3 linked regions of the Ovis aries genome follow. The protein of the gene in region 1 interacts with the protein of each later gene in a biochemical or structural test. Links are inferred from orthologs where the notes say so. Each region holds a gene or a part of one and is shown in the gene's direction. Other genes may lie near its edges.

Region 1 (5,834 bases):
TATTAGCATATAAGCTATACCAAATATTTTAGAGATTAAAGATGTATTTATAATAAAATGTATTGTTCATGTCTCAATATATTAACAGGTTATGTAAAACATGCAGACCTTGAAAATCTACTCAACTTTGATTTCGAATCCTGATTTTGCTACACTAATAGCAAAATAATGAGTCTCACTAAAAATGCATAATTTGTAAGGAAGTCTTTTGTATTCGCTCTGCTCCAGTTTTTCCTAAGTATAAGGCCAAGTTTTCCATTAACATTTTTTATAAAAATTGTGATTTTATTAGTTGAGTTTGTTTTTATACCATAAATCATTACTAGTTCAAATATTTAATGATTTTTTTAAAAACCCAGGAAAGCCATAAGTATTGTGCAAGTTATATAAATATCTGAATTTATATGTATACACATATTTTAAAAATGCATAAAGTTCACCTCAATTACTCTGCAATTTAAAATCTCACCAGAGAACTGTGATGTTTTAATACTGAATTCGAAGGCAGTACAACAATAAACTCACAAGCCACATATTGGTGCTCTTTGTCAAGTTTAACGAAGTGAATGGAGAAAGAAGAAAGATGGTAATATTTAATGATAATATTTCATATGCATTAAGGTTGGATTAGGCTGCAGCTATTCACTTGAGCAAACTCCAGGAGTTGGTAAAGGAAAGGGAAGCCTGGCGTGCTACAGTCCATGGGGTCGAAAAGGGTCGGATACGACTAAGGCACTGAATGGCAACAACAACAAAATTCACACGAGAAGGGGTAGGGGAAGATGTGAAATAACCAGAGGGTTTCATCTGGTTAAGAGTTCTTTTCTCTTTAAAAGGCATTTTTTGGACTAGAGACAGCTGAGAGGTACAGACTCCTTAGTAGCCTCCTTCTCTGGTTCTGACCAGATGTGTGAGTCAGGACAGCCAATTTCAAAGACCTGCCTCTGCCCGGGGCCAGTGCTACCCTTTTCCCACTTGAGCTTCAGTCTCAGAAAAGAGGATCAAAACGACAGGCTCCAGGAACAAACACTGCACTGGCTTCTTTTGTTTTGGAAGAAAGGATGAGTATGAGGTTTCTGGTCACTTTCCTCAATCAAGTAAATCATATCAAAAGGGATGTACAGAGCATCAGGTCACAGGAGGGCACAGAAGTGAAAGTGAAAGGCACTCAGTCGTGTCCAACTCTTTTCGACTCCAGGGACTATAGTCCACCAGGCTCCTCTGTCCATGGAATTCTCCAGGCAAGAATACTGGAGTGGGTAGCCATTCACTTCTCCAGGGGATCTTCCCAACCCAGGGCTCAAACTGGGTCTCCAGCATTACAGGAAGATTCTCTACCGTTTGAGCCTCTAGCTCCTGCCAAAGTAACCCTGGCTCTTGGAAAGACCTGCTCCTGAGTCCCTAACAGAGTCCACCCCTGACGCCTTTAGAGTCTCCAGAAGTCACAATAGTGTGGTCAGATGATGGAAGCCTCCCCAGAAGACTTCCAAAAGCAGCACCAGATGAGAAGGGGGCAGAAAGGCTCTTTTCCTCACCAGATAGCAGCACCTTGCAAAACCAAGCATTTGGGGCCTACCTACATATGTTGCCACAATTTGAGTTGTTACCAGAGCTGCTGTGTTGCCTTCATATCCGAAGGCATAGGAATTCCAGGGTGCAAAGGGATCGCTGCTTCCCAATGAATGAAAGTGGGTAATAAATGTGTAGAAGTTAGTTTCACATTAAAATCCATTTCTATTTTCCTTGGGCATCCAGGAGTGATTTGCAAGATGCCTCCTAACTGCCTCTTAACACCTGATTCAATCGCTTTCATCCTCATTTCCTGTAGAATACTTCAATTTTCCCATTAAAGTAATGCATACACATCGCTGAGTGAGCCCATTAATAAAGAATACTTAAGAAAAAACTGGGAGAGGTGTAAGATTAGCAATTATTTTCATTCAAAACAAGGAAGAAGGAAATAACGAGTTCTTAAAAAACGACCATTTGAATGGTTTCCATTATCTGTTTTATGGATGGGAACTTAGAGATGGGAATATTTAAAAATTAAAAACAGACAAAAGCAGTAACGTGTGTGTGTGTGCACAACAACATTTTCAAAAAAATAATAAAGGTAAAGATTCTTATACTTGGCTCTCTAGTTACCTCTGCAAGTTCCAGGGCTCCCTAGTTTCCAAGGACCCCCCCCCCCTTCCCTTCCTGCGTGGCCAAGGCCCCTTCTCCCTACCCTCACCTCTTACCCCCAAATTAGGCCCCCTGCTTCCACCCTACCCTGCCGCGGACCCCGGATCCAAGGATTTCCTTCCCACGTGACCAGGCCACCTGCCCAGTCCCTGGTTCCCAGCCTCCCCGCTATCCCCTCTCAACGTCCCAGACCCCGTCGCTGCCACTCGCGTTCCTTCCTCTTCCTGGGCCAGCTTCACGCTGGGGCTGCCGGAACCGTCGAGGAAGGTCTCTCTCCTGGGGACCTAGAGCACCACGTGCGACCCTAAAACCCCAGGTCTCCTCTCCCGCCCTGTCGGGTTACATGCACCGGAACCCAGGTCGGCCAGGCGTGGCCTCCGGTGCGCAAGGACCCAAAATGACCGAGAACACGCCGCCACCACGGACTGAGGCCGCGACTCCAACCAGAGGCCCGCTCGCTGCCACTTGGCTTTTCTCTGGGAGTAGGCTTAGGTGTGTGAGCTGGGGGAAAGGGGAGTGAGCCGCGCTGTCTGCCCGGCGCGGTCAAGGCGCCGCGGCCTCAGCAGCCCCGAGGGCCCCGCGTCGCCCTCCCGGGCCAAGGTTCTCAGGAGCGGGCCGCGGAAAAGACGTTAGCGGGAGGAGTTAGCGGCTGTTGGGGAACCGGTTCAAGTAAAAACAGTCCCTTCCAAACCCCGGCCATCGCGGGGCGGGCCTGCTTCTTCCCTTACAGATATCGGCCACAGTGGGGGCGTGGGCCGCGGCCACCGCGGCCGCCCGCCCAGACACGCCCGGGCAGGGCCGCTTAGGAGGGGCTCAGGGCCGCCGCCGGTTGGCCCCACCCAGCCCTGAACGCCCAAGGGTCGCGGTGCGTCCTCGGGTGCTGAGGTAGCCATAGAGATGAGGCCGCAGAGCGCGCACGCCCCCCTGCGGTTGGCATGGAAACGGCCCCCGCGAGGCCCGGGAGCTGCGCTGATTGGCCGATTCAACAGACGCGGGGGCCGGCGAGGGGCGGGGGGAGTTGAAAGTAATTAGCTCTGAGCTGGGCAGCAGACGCTGGGAGCCCAGCGCCCCGGCTAGAATCTATTAACACCTCCGTCCCCTTCCGCCCCGCCCCGCCCCGGCCCCGCCCCCTTCATTGGACCCTTATTCCCAATCCTCGTGTGCATTTGCTAATTGTTCGAGACTTATGTGTAAAGAGATAAGACTGAGAAGAGCGAGGTCCGCTGTGGGTTCCAAGCAGATTTTGGGGCCTTCTGTCTTGTGGGAGGAAGGCCGCGGAAGAGCACTCTGCTTGTCACTTGAGAAGGGGACGTACTTTCCCACAGTGATGTATCCTGGGTCACTGGTTTGCAGGGAAGGGGGTGGTGGAGTAATGGATAAGCATCACAGCCAGGAAAGACACGGGCTTGTAGGTTTGAACTCCCCACTAATGTGGGGGTTAGTGTCTTGGCTTGGAGGTTTGTCATATTCTTCTCTTCTTCCAGCCATCAGCCAGGTATTGGAAGAAAGGCTGGAGAGATTCAAATCATCGTTTTGGTTTAAAGCGGCTTTGATCACTTGCACTGTGGCTCAGGCCCTTTCAACCCTAATAACAGCAAGGAAGATCATGTGTCACAGGGCTGTGTCTTCTAGAGAGTCTCAGCATCCTTGGATCCTTATCCTTCGTGGAAGAGGCTGACTAACTGGCTTGTCTGTTTCTCCTTCCTTGACAGCAGTAAGCTGTGGAGACTGAGGCTATGCATCTCAGCAGCTCCAAGAGTGGAGTAGTGCTGGCTCCAGTGTCCCGAGGTCCTGATGCCTGTCAGATGATAACCAGAGGCCAGTTCGGCCAGGATCCGCCACAAAGAACAGTACTAGGAGTGCTAACTGAGAATGGGCAGTACAGGAGGACCTGTGGCCAGGTAATGCCTGGGAAGAGCTGGGAAGGCCCCCGTGTCTTGGTGGGAAGTGGGATCTCTTGAGATTTTCTGCACAAACTCCCCTTGAGTATTCAGCCCTGGAATCTGGCCTATAGGGGCACTGATTTTTTAAAAGAGCACTTTGTAAGGTCCCTTTTTCAGCTAGCAATATTAAATAATTTTCTTTGTTATTAGGAACTGTTTAAGTCAAATATGTGTAAAGTCACTTAAAAGAAAGTGAAAGTGAAGTCACTCAGTCGTTTCCAACTCTTTGTGACCCTGTGGACTGTAGCCTACCAGGCTTCTCCACCCATGGGATTCTCCAGGCAAGAATACTGGAGTGGGTTGCCATTTGCTTCTCCAGGGGATCTTCCCGACCCAGGGATTGAACCTGGGTCTCCTGCATTGCAGGCAGACGCTTCACCCTCAGCCACCAGGGAAGCACTTAAGTTCCGGGCTAAAAGGACATTGTGAATGCACCAAAATAAACTATTGTTGTTCAGTTGCGAAGGTGTGTCCAGCTCTTTGCGACCCCATGGACTGTAGCCTGCCAAGCTTCTTTACCCATGGAATTTCCCAGGCAAGAATACTGGAGTGGGTTGTGATTTCTTTCTCCAAAATTAACTTGTGGTACTGGTGTTTCTCTAGATCAGAATGGTATTCAGATTGACCTAGGCTGTGCCCTGAAGCATCTCCGATAACCTTTAAGTTCATTGGTGATGGTATTAGAATCAGGATTGGATCCCAGCATACTAGATTACTTACAAATGTGTGCTTTGAAAGTCAGCTTCTCCCCAGGACTGATAATGGACAGTTGGGCAGAAGATCATGGGCCATCTAATGTCCGGTTGCTTGTGCTTAATTAATCATAGGCACCTCCCTTAACAGAATGTAAACAGAGGGTAAATAAATTCAACACTTAAAATGCAAATAAGGAGTTTGGATCCTTAAGAATGAATTTTGAGATTAAAAAAACAACAACAACAAAACTTCCTCAAGTCTGTCATCACACCAGCTTCTCATAAGCTTGTACTGCATATCTATTGGCGGTAGTATAGTGGAGTAGGTGGGCAGGTATCCTTTCCATTGTACAGGTGAGAAAATTTGAGAGGTTTGAGAAAGCCTTCCCACCCAAATAAAAGTCATGATGGAGGCCAGATCAGAAGCTTCTCATCTACTGACTACTCCTACTCCTCTTCTACACAATGACACAAGTCATTTGTGTCTTGGTGGCATCTGGTTAGTGGGAGAAAATTACCCAAAGTAATCTGTTTCAAGCTTTGGAAAAAGCTGAGTAAAGGTGGTTTTAGCAAACTTAATTTGCTTAGCGACACGGTGTACTTCTTTAAACATGAAGTCTAACACAGTGAGGGAAGGAGAGAGTGGGATGAATAGAAAGAGTAGCACTGAAACATGTACATCACCATATGTAAAAGCAAGAGCTGGTGGGAATTCGCTGTGTGACTCAGGGAGCTCAAACCCAGCGCTCTGTGACAACCTAGAGGGGTGGGATGAGGTAGGGGGTCGGAGGGAGGTTCAAGCGGGAGGGGACATATGTATGCCCGCGGCTGATTCATGTTGATGTATGGCAGAAACCAACACAAATTGGAAAGCAAATACCCTCCAATTAAAAATAAACAAATAATTAAAACAGGAAGTCTAAAACCTCTCCTGAATGGGCAGTTACCCCTGTGCTTAGCGGTTTCACTGTAAATTCATAACTGTTAGTTACCCTCTATGTTGCTTGGTGCT
Region 2 (5,036 bases), on another chromosome or scaffold:
GTGAGCATAGCCATCTTCCAGAGCAACGTCCCTGGGGCAGTGGAGGTGCCGGGTATCTGGATGTCCTGAGATGTCCATTCCCTGTCCTTCCAGATCAAGCTTCAGGAGTCCCCCGAAGACATGCCTGCGGGGCAGACGCCGCACACGGTCGTCCTCTTTGCTCACAATGACCTCGTGGACAAGGTCCAGCCTGGGGACAGAGTGCACATCACAGGTGAGGGGCTCCACCGTCAGGCCTCTGACCTGGTTGGGGGCAGATGACCTGGGGCTGCTGTTTTCAGTGCCAGCCTCTGACCTCCAATGTGGTGCCTTCCCAGACAGCAGGTTGTCTTGTTGTCCGAAATAACTAGTGAGCGACTTTAAATACGTGAGCCTTTTGGATTTCCTTTCTTTTTAGGCTTTTGGAACAGGATTTTAATATTTTTAGTCAAATTATTAATAACTGTACATTCCCTTAAAGAGAAATAAGAACTCTGTCTCACACTGAACACAGCAGCAGGCAGGCGCCGGGTGGAGGTGGGTTTCCCCAGTCAGCCTTTCGGCTGGGCTCAGAGCCCCCAGAGCCCTGTTCCCCCTGCTCTGGACTGAGAGCAGGCAGGTGAGAGGGTGTCCTTCGTGCCTTCAGGCATCTATCGAGCCGTCCCCATTCGCATCAACCCCAGAGTGAGCAATGTGAAGTCTGTCTACAAAACCCACATTGACGTCATTCACTACCGGAAGACTGACTCAAAGCGTCTGCATGGCCTTGACGAAGAAGCAGAGCAGAAACTTTTCTCTGAGAAACGTGTGGAGTTGCTCAAAGAGCTTTCCAGGAAGCCAGACATCTATGAGAGGCTTGCATCTGCCCTGGCGCCAAGCATCTATGAGCATGAAGACATAAAGAAGGTAACTGACCTCGAAAGGCTTCTTGCTTACGGCCAGGCCTGAAAGCTCAAGGTCAGATGGTGTGAACACCGGGAAAGGCTGAGCCTCGGGTGGAACAGGGGCCGCACCCTCATCTCCACCCCCGGCTCACCCGTTTCCAGGCAGGCCCTGTGTGGCTTCTGACCCGCTCTCGTCCTCTGATCTCTTCACCATCCATTTGCTCAGCCCCCTGCCTCTCCACCACCCACCTCAGGTGAGTGCTGAGACCTGTCTGTCCGTCTATCCAGGGAATCTTGCTTCAGCTCTTCGGCGGGACTAGAAAGGATTTCAGCCACACGGGGAGGGGCAAGTTCCGCGCGGAGATCAACATCCTGCTGTGCGGGGACCCAGGGACCAGCAAGTCCCAGCTGCTGCAGTACGTGCACAACCTGGTCCCGCGGGGCCAGTACACGTCCGGGAAGGGCTCCAGTGCCGTGGGCCTCACTGCCTACGTCATGAAGGACCCTGAGACACGGCAGCTGGTGTTGCAGACCGGCGCCCTGGTGCTGAGCGACAATGGCATCTGCTGCATCGACGAGTTCGACAAGATGAATGAAAGCACGCGCTCCGTGCTACACGAGGTCATGGAGCAGCAGACACTGTCCATCGCCAAGGTCAGCCACCCACCCGCTCTGATGTCTGCGTGGGGGTGGGGGATGGGGCCTGGACCACAGCGTCTGGACTTGCAGCTCGGGAGGCTGGCCAACACTCTGCTGTCAGGTCCCAGCCCATCTGAGTGTCCTCTACAGGACCTGGGTCCTCTGTGCGGTACTAACCTCTAATGCCTGGTGTTCACAGAACTTTTGTCCTAAATCTCATGCCAGGGATTTGGTTTTTGAGAAGATGTAGTCACAGCAAATGTTTACCCCCACCTCCATCCTTGGTGTGAAACTCAGCTTAGGCTTCCCCAGTGGATGCTGTAGGTACCGTGCTTGTGGTGCCAGGGGTTCCTGGCAAAGGCCACCCGAGGCAGGGGCTCTGAGCTCCTGCTGGCCTCAGCGTGAGGCTGCTGACCACGCTATCGGTCCCTCCCGCAGGCTGGGATCATCTGTCAGCTCAACGCCCGCACCTCCATCCTGGCAGCAGCAAACCCGATTGAGTCTCAGTGGAATCCGAAAAAAACCACCATTGAAAACATCCAGCTGCCCCACACACTCTTATCAAGGTATGATAGCACATGTTCATCAAACAAATGCTTTCATTTTCCTCATCTGTGGAAGGCTCAGGGTGAGGGTGAGAAGGAAATAACCAGAGTTAACACAGCCAGTCGCCGTCTCTTCATGCTGGTGTGGTCTGCATGTCTGCTTAGTCACGGGTCCTGAGGTGAGGACCACGCGCTTGCTCACCTTGACGGATGCTTGTTTCTTGGAGCGGTTGGGGCCTGTCTGCTCCATTCTGTCAGAAGCCCACCTCTTGCTGCTCTTGGTCCTATAGCCACTGTAGACAATCAGCAAAGTGCAGAGAGCAGCTTCCTGCAATAGACAAGGGTCTGAGAGCTGCCTTTGTGGGAGGGGAGATGTGACCCAGGCTTCCTCTCAAGGATGGATGTATTTCATAAATGGGTTTTAGAATTTGGTTCCTTCACTTCTTACACAAATAGTTCCTTTTCCCCAGCACAGCTCAATGTGTTTCACTCACCTCCTCCAGTCTTCAGAATCACAGCAGTGTTTCCCTCCAGAGCCTCCTGCTTCTGACTCACCTTCAGCGCCCAACACTTATTCCCAGGCAGACTGAGGGCTGGGGCAGGAGACCCGGGGGCCTGAGCTCCTCGGACCACCTGGGCCGGGCGCGCCTGCCACTCCCACGGAGGCCGCAGGTCCACATCAGGTGCGTGGGTGTCCTGACTGGGCACCATCACTGTGTCTCCTCAGGTTTGACTTGATCTTCCTCATGCTGGACCCCCAGGACGAGGCATACGACCGGCGCCTGGCTCACCACCTGGTGTCCCTGTACTACCAGAGTGAGGAGCAGGCACAGGAGGAGGGCATGGACATGGCGGTGCTCAGGGACTACATCGCCTACGCGCACAGCACCGTGACACCAAGGCTCAGCCAGGACGCCAGCCAGGCCCTCGTCGAGGTACCGCGGCCCGAAGTGCTGCTGGGCCCTGCTCAGCCCTGAAACAGTCTTTAGTCAAGAACAACACTGTCTTCTACAACTGTTTTCCTTCCTGTGTTGCAAAGCTGACTTTTCCACGTGTGGAAGAGGGAAAAGGATTATTTCTACAAGTTGTGTGCTCTTTTTAAAGTTCTTGTAAGCACAGTGTATTTAAGACCAGGATGCCTGAGTTGAAATATCGGTGAGGCTGTTAATACTTAGTGACTTTGTAATTCTGGTCTCTGAGCTGCATTTGCTCATTTCTAAAGAATTGAAGTATTTTATGTTCACTTCTCAGTACCTTTTAAGTGGGCAGCAGTGCCTGGTGACACGCATGGATGTTGTGACACTAGGAAGGTTCCTAGTGCTTTGGTGGGCTTTCCATCCTGACAGTTCTGAAGATGCTCAAGTGACAGTTAGAAGTGATTCGTAGTTTTCCCTCTGGGTCATCTTGAGAATCAGGTCATCCACACGAGTTCACAGTTTACCCTTTGTGTGCTCTGTGTCAGCGCCCCTTGGCCTGCTGCTATTTGGTCCTCCTAGGGTGTGAACAGGCCAAGTCCTCAGCTCCCTCCCCAGCGCCACAATCCCCCCACTGGTGCCACCTCTCCCCCAGATGAGGGTGGAGGCCTAAGGCTAGACCATGCTCTTGTTCCCCTCAGGACTTCCCTCCCTGCGGTCACCATGTGAGGAGTCAGCCTGTCTCCTGTCTTACAGGCCTACGTGGACATGAGGAAGGTTGGCAGTAGCCGAGGGATGGTGTCTGCGTACCCCCGGCAGCTGGAGTCACTGATCCGCTTGGCAGAAGCCCACGCGAAAGTGCGGTTTTCAAACAAGGTGGAGGCCATTGACGTGGAGGAGGCCAAGCGCCTGCACCGGGAGGCACTGAAGCAGTCGGCCACCGACCCGCGGACAGGCATCGTAGACATCTCCATCCTCACCACAGGTCAGCCTTCCCCCGACGTGGGTGCTGCCCTATCTCGAGTCAGAGCCCCCATGAACACGCGATGGGGCTGGGCGGAGGCAGACGCTGGCACACTCGGCCCAGCTCTGTCCCACCCAGCCGTCCAGGCACCGAGTGATTCAGGCCCCCACAAGGGGGACTCTGTGGACACAGACTCCTGTGTGGACTGCTGGGCTGTGTCTCAGTGGCCAGTAGCGGCTCTGAGCTTTTATAAAACTGGGGACAGGATTCAGACCTCACTCTGGCATTCAGCCACCATCCCCTTACCTTGTCTGGTGACAAGACTAAAGATTATTTTAGAAGAAATACTAGAGATTTGAAAGGTGTTCCCTTGATTATGGGAGAAACATCTTCATTGCTTTCTCTTAACTCAGGAATGAGTGCTACCTCTCGGAAGCGGAAAGAAGAGTTAGCGGAAGCATTGAGAAAGCTTATTTTATCAAAGGGCAAGACACCAACCCTGAAATACCAGCAGCTCTTTGAAGATATTCGGGGACAGTCTGACATAGTAAGTGTTTACATGGACATTTTGTTTGTTTAATAGTTTTCTTTTCCTTTGATGCTGCTTTAAAGTTTTTTTCCCTAGCTTTCCCCCTTCATTTACTGCTTGAGTAATAAATGTAGATACACATAAGAGAAGTACGGTCCCCATCCATAGTGAGTGATCACATTGAGAATTTTTTCAGTCTTCTGTGTGGATGTAGATGAGTAGTTTTGAGCAGAGTCAGTGGTTTCTTTTTTAATCAGTGACAGTCTTAGCTCTTTCTGTGACACTGAATCCACTGCGACATGTTTGCTCTGTCTCATGCCTTCCCCATCATGTACTCAACTGTCGGTGGACATTTAGTGTTTGCAGTTTTTGGCTGTTATTAGGAAAGCCAGGTTCACGGCAGGGGCTCTGCTGGTTGGGACCAGCCCTTGCCTGCTTTCCTGACACCCCCTTCTTGGCCCCACATGACCGCTGAGTGGTTCACACAGACCAGGGGCGCCAGGCCTGTGGTGCTTAGCATCAAGCCCTTTAGGGGAAGAGCTGGAGCATGAAATGTCTGTCCAGCCGCCCAGAAGGCAGGAG
Region 3 (5,036 bases), on another chromosome or scaffold:
CTGGAGATGGACCCAGGGGACATGGGCAGAAGGCAAGGGTTGGCCTGACCAGGTGGGATGGGCAGCAAGGGAGGGTATGGTGTCTGGAGCTGACTGTGTGGACGTGGGCTGGCCCCACAGCAGGATTTATGGGGACTTTGTCCAGCTGGTGCTGGGCTGTGGCCAAGCTGCAGTTGAGGGTCTGGATGTCTGTGGTGGCCTTTTTTTTCCTCCTGCCCGGGAGAGAGAGTGTGTGAAAAAACACCGAATGTTAAACCACTGTAACTGTTCTCAAGTGTCTGTTGAGGACATGAAGCGTATTCTCACTGTGCAGCAGATCTTTGGAACTGTCATCTTGCAAAGAAAGCTGAATCATCAAACACTAATTTTCCCCATCCCCTCCCCCTAGCCCTTGGCAACCACCTTGTTTTACTTTCTGTTTTTGATTTCTTTTTTTATTTGGCTGCCCTCGTCTTCGTTGTAGCACATGGGATCATTTTTTCGGTGCCACATGCAGGATCATTAGTTGCAGCATTTGGAATCTAGTTTCCTGATCAGGGATTGAACCCAGGCCCCCTGCACTGGGAGCACAGTCTTAGCCACTGGATCACCAGAGAAGTCCCTGGTTTTTATTTTTGACTACTTTAGATTCTTCATATGAGTGGACTTAGGCTGTCTCTGTCCTTTTGTGTCTGGCTTATTTTGCTTAGCATAATGTCCTCAAGGTTCATCCAGGTTGTAGCTTGTAACAGAATTTCCTTGTTTTGAGGCGGAATAATATTCCACTGTATGGATAATACTACATTTTCTTTATATGTATAAATTAAAAAAAATAAGTTTGGGGGATTCCCTGGCCATCTAGTGGTTAGGACCCCAAGCTTTCACTGTGAGGACCTCAGTTCAATCCCTGATGGGGGAACTGAGAACCTACGAGTTGCAGGGGGTAAAAACAGTCAGTTTGCTCTAGGAATATTTTACACACAAACAGCTACAACTGTTGAAGTACAATCCAGTGAGTTTCAGTGGATGTGCTGCCGTGAAACTCACAGCAACACCACCTTGCTGGGTGTTCCCATCACCCCAGGCATCTCTTGCTCCCTGCTGTTCATTTCTTCCACCCACCAACCAACCCTGACCATGGACACCACTGACTATCTTTTTGTCCCTATAGCTTTGTTTACCTTTTCTAGAAGTTCCTCTGCACAGAATTAAGCAATGTGTACTCTTCTTATGTCTGACTTCTTTTTCTCATCCTAATGATACTGTGATTTTAATGTTGTTGCATGAATCAATAGTTTATATTCAGGAGAACGAGTTTATGTTCAGGAGAGTGTTCTAACAGATATGTTTTTCCATTCCAAGTGCCCACGTTTCCCTGTCTCCAGGGCTGGGTCACTGTCGTCTCTGGCCTGGATGCCTGTAATGGCCTCCTATCCTCCATTCTGCCCTCCTGCAGCCCTTTCTCCTGCAGCTGCCAAAGTGAAGTTCACAACAAGCACGTTGGACTGTGACCACCTGTCAGTGGTGATGCTTCAGTGCATCTGTGGCCTTGCGTGACGCAGAGGCCTGAGTCAACCCTGCGTGTGCTCTGATCCCCGCCGCCCCCGCCCCCACCCCCAAATCCTCTTGCCTCCCTGTCTCCTGCTTCCTGCAGCCTAGCCTCACTAGAGTTCCTTGGAGCCTGTCCCTTGGGTCCCCCATAGGCCTCATTGTCCATCTCTCCATCCCTGCAGCACAGAGTGGCCCTCCTTTTGTTTGCAGGAGCCTTTGATTAGCGTCTGCTTCCCGCTAGACTTTAAGTCCCCAAAGTTGAGCAGCTCTGATGCTGGCGTGCCTGGTGCACAGTTAGATGATCACTTCATCACGTGAATGGATGAATGAGGCTGTTCTCTTTGTTGGAGGGAGGGTGGGTCTCAGTCCAGAGCAGCCGCTTTCTGCACGCGTGTGAACTGAGCCCTCTGTCTTCCTGGCTTTGGCAGGACGAGCAGCTGAAGGCCCTGGTGAAGCAGTTTGGACAGCAAGACTGGAAGTTCCTGGCCAGCCACTTTCCCGTGAGTGCAGCCCCTCTGCCGCCCTCTCCCCCGGATAGGGAGCCTGGGAGAGACTTGGTGTCAGGGAGAAGAAAGGAGAATTCCTTACCAGGCGCCCCCGAGCTCTCCCAACAAAACAACCTTCCAGCCTCCTGAGGCCCTTTCTACCCAAACTGGAATCGGGGCACCCTGATGTAAGCGTCCCCACGTGGCAGCCTCTGGGTGCCTGGGGGCCTTAGGCTCCATGATCATGCGTCGTATCAGTGGCATATTTGCATTTCTTCCTGCAAGTCACTGACGAGTGGCTGCTCGGTTTCTCAACCGTGAAACTGAACCTGAGAGGAAATGATGCTTGAGCAGGCTTCATGGTGAGGCCCCCGCAGAGCTGACCCGAGCCACCATGTCCAGCATCTAGAGCCTCCTGGTGATGTGGCTCCCCCTAGGATCCCCCACCCCCAGCTCTGCAGGTGGCCGACAGGGAGGGGATGTGGCAGGAGCTGCTGTTGGCTTTCCTGGCTCATCAGGCAGCTCGGGGACCAGGTCACCAGACCCTTTGGCCCCATTCCTCACTCCCTGTCCTCTACAGGGTCTGAAACCTTCAGGGAAATAGCCCCTTTCAGAAGCAAGCGAGAATCCCTGATGTAGCCTGCAGGCTGGCACAGGGCAGTTGTGGGCAGTGGCTCTGCACAGGGTTCTGAGTTTGCCTGCTTCCATCCAGGCCCACTTGTAGCAAAGGGAACCACAGTGTCCTGGACCGTGGGTGTGTAGTGTGTGGGGGTTCTGGGAACGAGGTAGGGCCACAGGCCAGGAGTTCTCAAGGATGCCTGTCCTTTTCCCAGAACCGCACTGACCAGCAGTGCCAGTATCGGTGGCTGAGGGTCTTGAATCCAGACCTCGTCAAAGGGCCATGGACCAAAGAGGAGGACCAGAAGGTAACGCCTGGGCCTGAGCCTGCTACACCGTGGCATTCACGCACCCCGGGGGAGGGGGTCAGGAGACTGAGGATGACATCCCACTGGTGGGTGCTAGGGTGGGAAACAGGGGGTGGGGGGGGTCCCGCTGGCCTCACAGCGTCTTTCCCCCAAGGTCATCGAGCTGGTCAAGAAGTATGGCACGAAGCAGTGGACGCTGATTGCCAAGCACCTGAAGGGCCGGCTGGGCAAGCAGTGCCGTGAGCGCTGGCACAACCACCTCAACCCCGAGGTGAAGAAGTCCTGCTGGACGGAGGAGGAGGACCGCATCATCTGCGAGGCCCACAAGGTGCTGGGCAACCGCTGGGCCGAGATCGCCAAGATGCTGCCGGGGAGGTGAGCCGCCCGCTGGGGCCGGTCAGGGCATCCCCTGGCCTTTGTGGGGATGTTCAAGGCCTAGTCCGATTTCTCTGGTGGTGTTTACTCTTCCCAGAAGAAGAGGCCTTCAGATTCTTGCCTCGGGCGGTGCAGGGACCTGGCTGCTGGGAGACTGGAGCGGGGTGGGGCGGGCCTGGGGGCCTCCTGTTCACGGTGCAGGTTCTCATCTGGGCCCACTTGGCTTCGTGCCCTGGCCATGGTTGCACGCGTTCTAAGTCACTGAAGTCATGTCCTGACTATTTACGAGCCCGTGGACTGTAGCCCACCACACTTCTCTGTCCATGGAATTCTCTAGGCAAGAGTACTGGAGTGGGTTGCCGTGCCCTCCTCCAGGGGATCTTCCCAACCCAGGGATCAAACCCGTGTCTCTTGGATCCTCCTGCACTGGCAGGCAAGTTCCTCACCACTGTGACACCTAAGAAGCCACGTGGCTTGGGTTGCCTGGTCTTTTTTTTTTTTTTTTTTTTTTTAATAAAAGAGAGTAAGTCTCATTCCTCCTGGTCTGGACGTCCAAAGCACTGCTCTGTTTTCACTCTACTCCTCACTGGGCCTGGCCGCTCCAAGCACTGGGTCTCTCGAGGTTCTGCAAGGAGAACTGGAACAACTTGGGACTTGGGCTGCAGTCTTGCCAGATCGTCCAGGGTCCACCCCAGTCTCCCGAGTTGCTTCACACAGTTGCTTCTGGAAACTGTAAAAATCTCTTATTCACCACTACCATCTACCCTGCTCTCTTGTCTGTGTACTTGTGTGTGTGTGCATGTGTGTGTGTGTGTGTGTGTGTGTCTGTGTGTGTATGTCTGTGTGCGTGCGTTGACCACCCCGTATAGCACACAAGATCGTCGTCGTTCCCTGAGCAGGGATTAAACCCATGCGCCCTTCCTCAGGAATGCTGCATCCTAATCACTGGCCCTGTCCATGGGCATTTCTACTTTGCTTTATTTCTAATCTTTTCTTTACGATGGCATTGTGGTGCCAGGGTAAATGGCATGGAGGGAAAGGAGATAGAATACCAGATGGCCTGTTTTCCCTGGAGTCTGAAATACCTGTTTCCAAACTCAGACCTAAGTGTGTTAATACTTTTGGTGCTTCCACTAACCCTTGGATGGAGACTCTTCCCTGTGTGGCCAGCCTGACCTCGCTGATGCCACAGCCTCACCTTGATCCGCAGTCACCCTCGCTTGCCTATCGGGCTTTGCACTATGCTCTCCTCCCGCCCACAGACATGGAGCCTGGACGCCCCCTGCCTGGTGCCCACTGTGTAGCCAGCTCGCTCTCACCGTTTGGTTTTTGGTGGGGAATGTTTCCTCGGGGAAGGTTGGTCTGTCCTTCCCGCCTGTGGTGAGTCCCTGGCCACCTCCGCGTAGTGCCCAGACCCTCCTCTGAGACTGGTGGCCTATTCAAGCTGTTATTCTGGTGGAAAAGCACTCAGCCCAGAGCCCCAAAGAAGGCACTGTCCCTGTGTGTCCACAGTTGTGCACTGCTGCGACCCGTGTGCGCTGGGGCCGCTCACACCGACGCCGACGCGTGCTTCCGCGGCCCGTGCTTCCCTGAGCCTTGTCCCACTCTCCTCTGCTGCTCTGTCCTGCTCTGCTGCGCACCCATCGGCCTCTCTCCGTCCACACTTCCTGCGCTCCTGTACCACTGTGCTACCCTCCCTGCCTTTACGTGTCACTACTCT

What was found. The genes of interacting proteins can lie anywhere in the genome.
Region 2: the proteins of CCNA1 (region 1) and MCM4 form a complex in vitro, tested with the Homo sapiens proteins (2 studies listed by BioGRID and IntAct, with this or other methods). The link is inferred for Ovis aries from reciprocal best matches to the Homo sapiens genes CCNA1 and MCM4.
Region 3: the proteins of CCNA1 (region 1) and MYBL2 form a complex in vitro, tested with the Homo sapiens proteins (2 studies listed by BioGRID, with this or other methods). The link is inferred for Ovis aries from reciprocal best matches to the Homo sapiens genes CCNA1 and MYBL2.

The regions. Positions count from the first base shown.
Region 1 is NC_056063.1:25,417,074-25,422,907, reverse strand, and holds the start of CCNA1 (cyclin-A1), read left to right. Parts: upstream 1-2,541; 5' UTR 2,542-2,676; intron 2,677-3,204; exon of another isoform or gene 3,205-3,896; 5' UTR 3,897-3,920; coding exon 3,921-4,085; intron 4,086-5,834. UniProt on the Homo sapiens protein: May be involved in the control of the cell cycle at the G1/S (start) and G2/M (mitosis) transitions. May primarily function in the control of the germline meiotic cell cycle and additionally in the control of mitotic cell cycle in some somatic cells.
Region 2 is NC_056062.1:32,580,443-32,585,478, forward strand, and holds part of MCM4 (DNA replication licensing factor MCM4), read left to right. Parts: intron 1-93; coding exon 94-214; intron 215-625; coding exon 626-885; intron 886-1,151; coding exon 1,152-1,517; intron 1,518-1,940; coding exon 1,941-2,068; intron 2,069-2,774; coding exon 2,775-2,982; intron 2,983-3,717; coding exon 3,718-3,946; intron 3,947-4,338; coding exon 4,339-4,472; intron 4,473-5,036. UniProt on the Homo sapiens protein: Acts as a component of the MCM2-7 complex (MCM complex) which is the replicative helicase essential for 'once per cell cycle' DNA replication initiation and elongation in eukaryotic cells.
Region 3 is NC_056066.1:72,204,071-72,209,106, forward strand, and holds part of MYBL2 (myb-related protein B), read left to right. Parts: intron 1-1,958; coding exon 1,959-2,030; intron 2,031-2,848; coding exon 2,849-2,941; intron 2,942-3,095; coding exon 3,096-3,316; intron 3,317-5,036. UniProt on the Homo sapiens protein: Transcription factor involved in the regulation of cell survival, proliferation, and differentiation. Transactivates the expression of the CLU gene.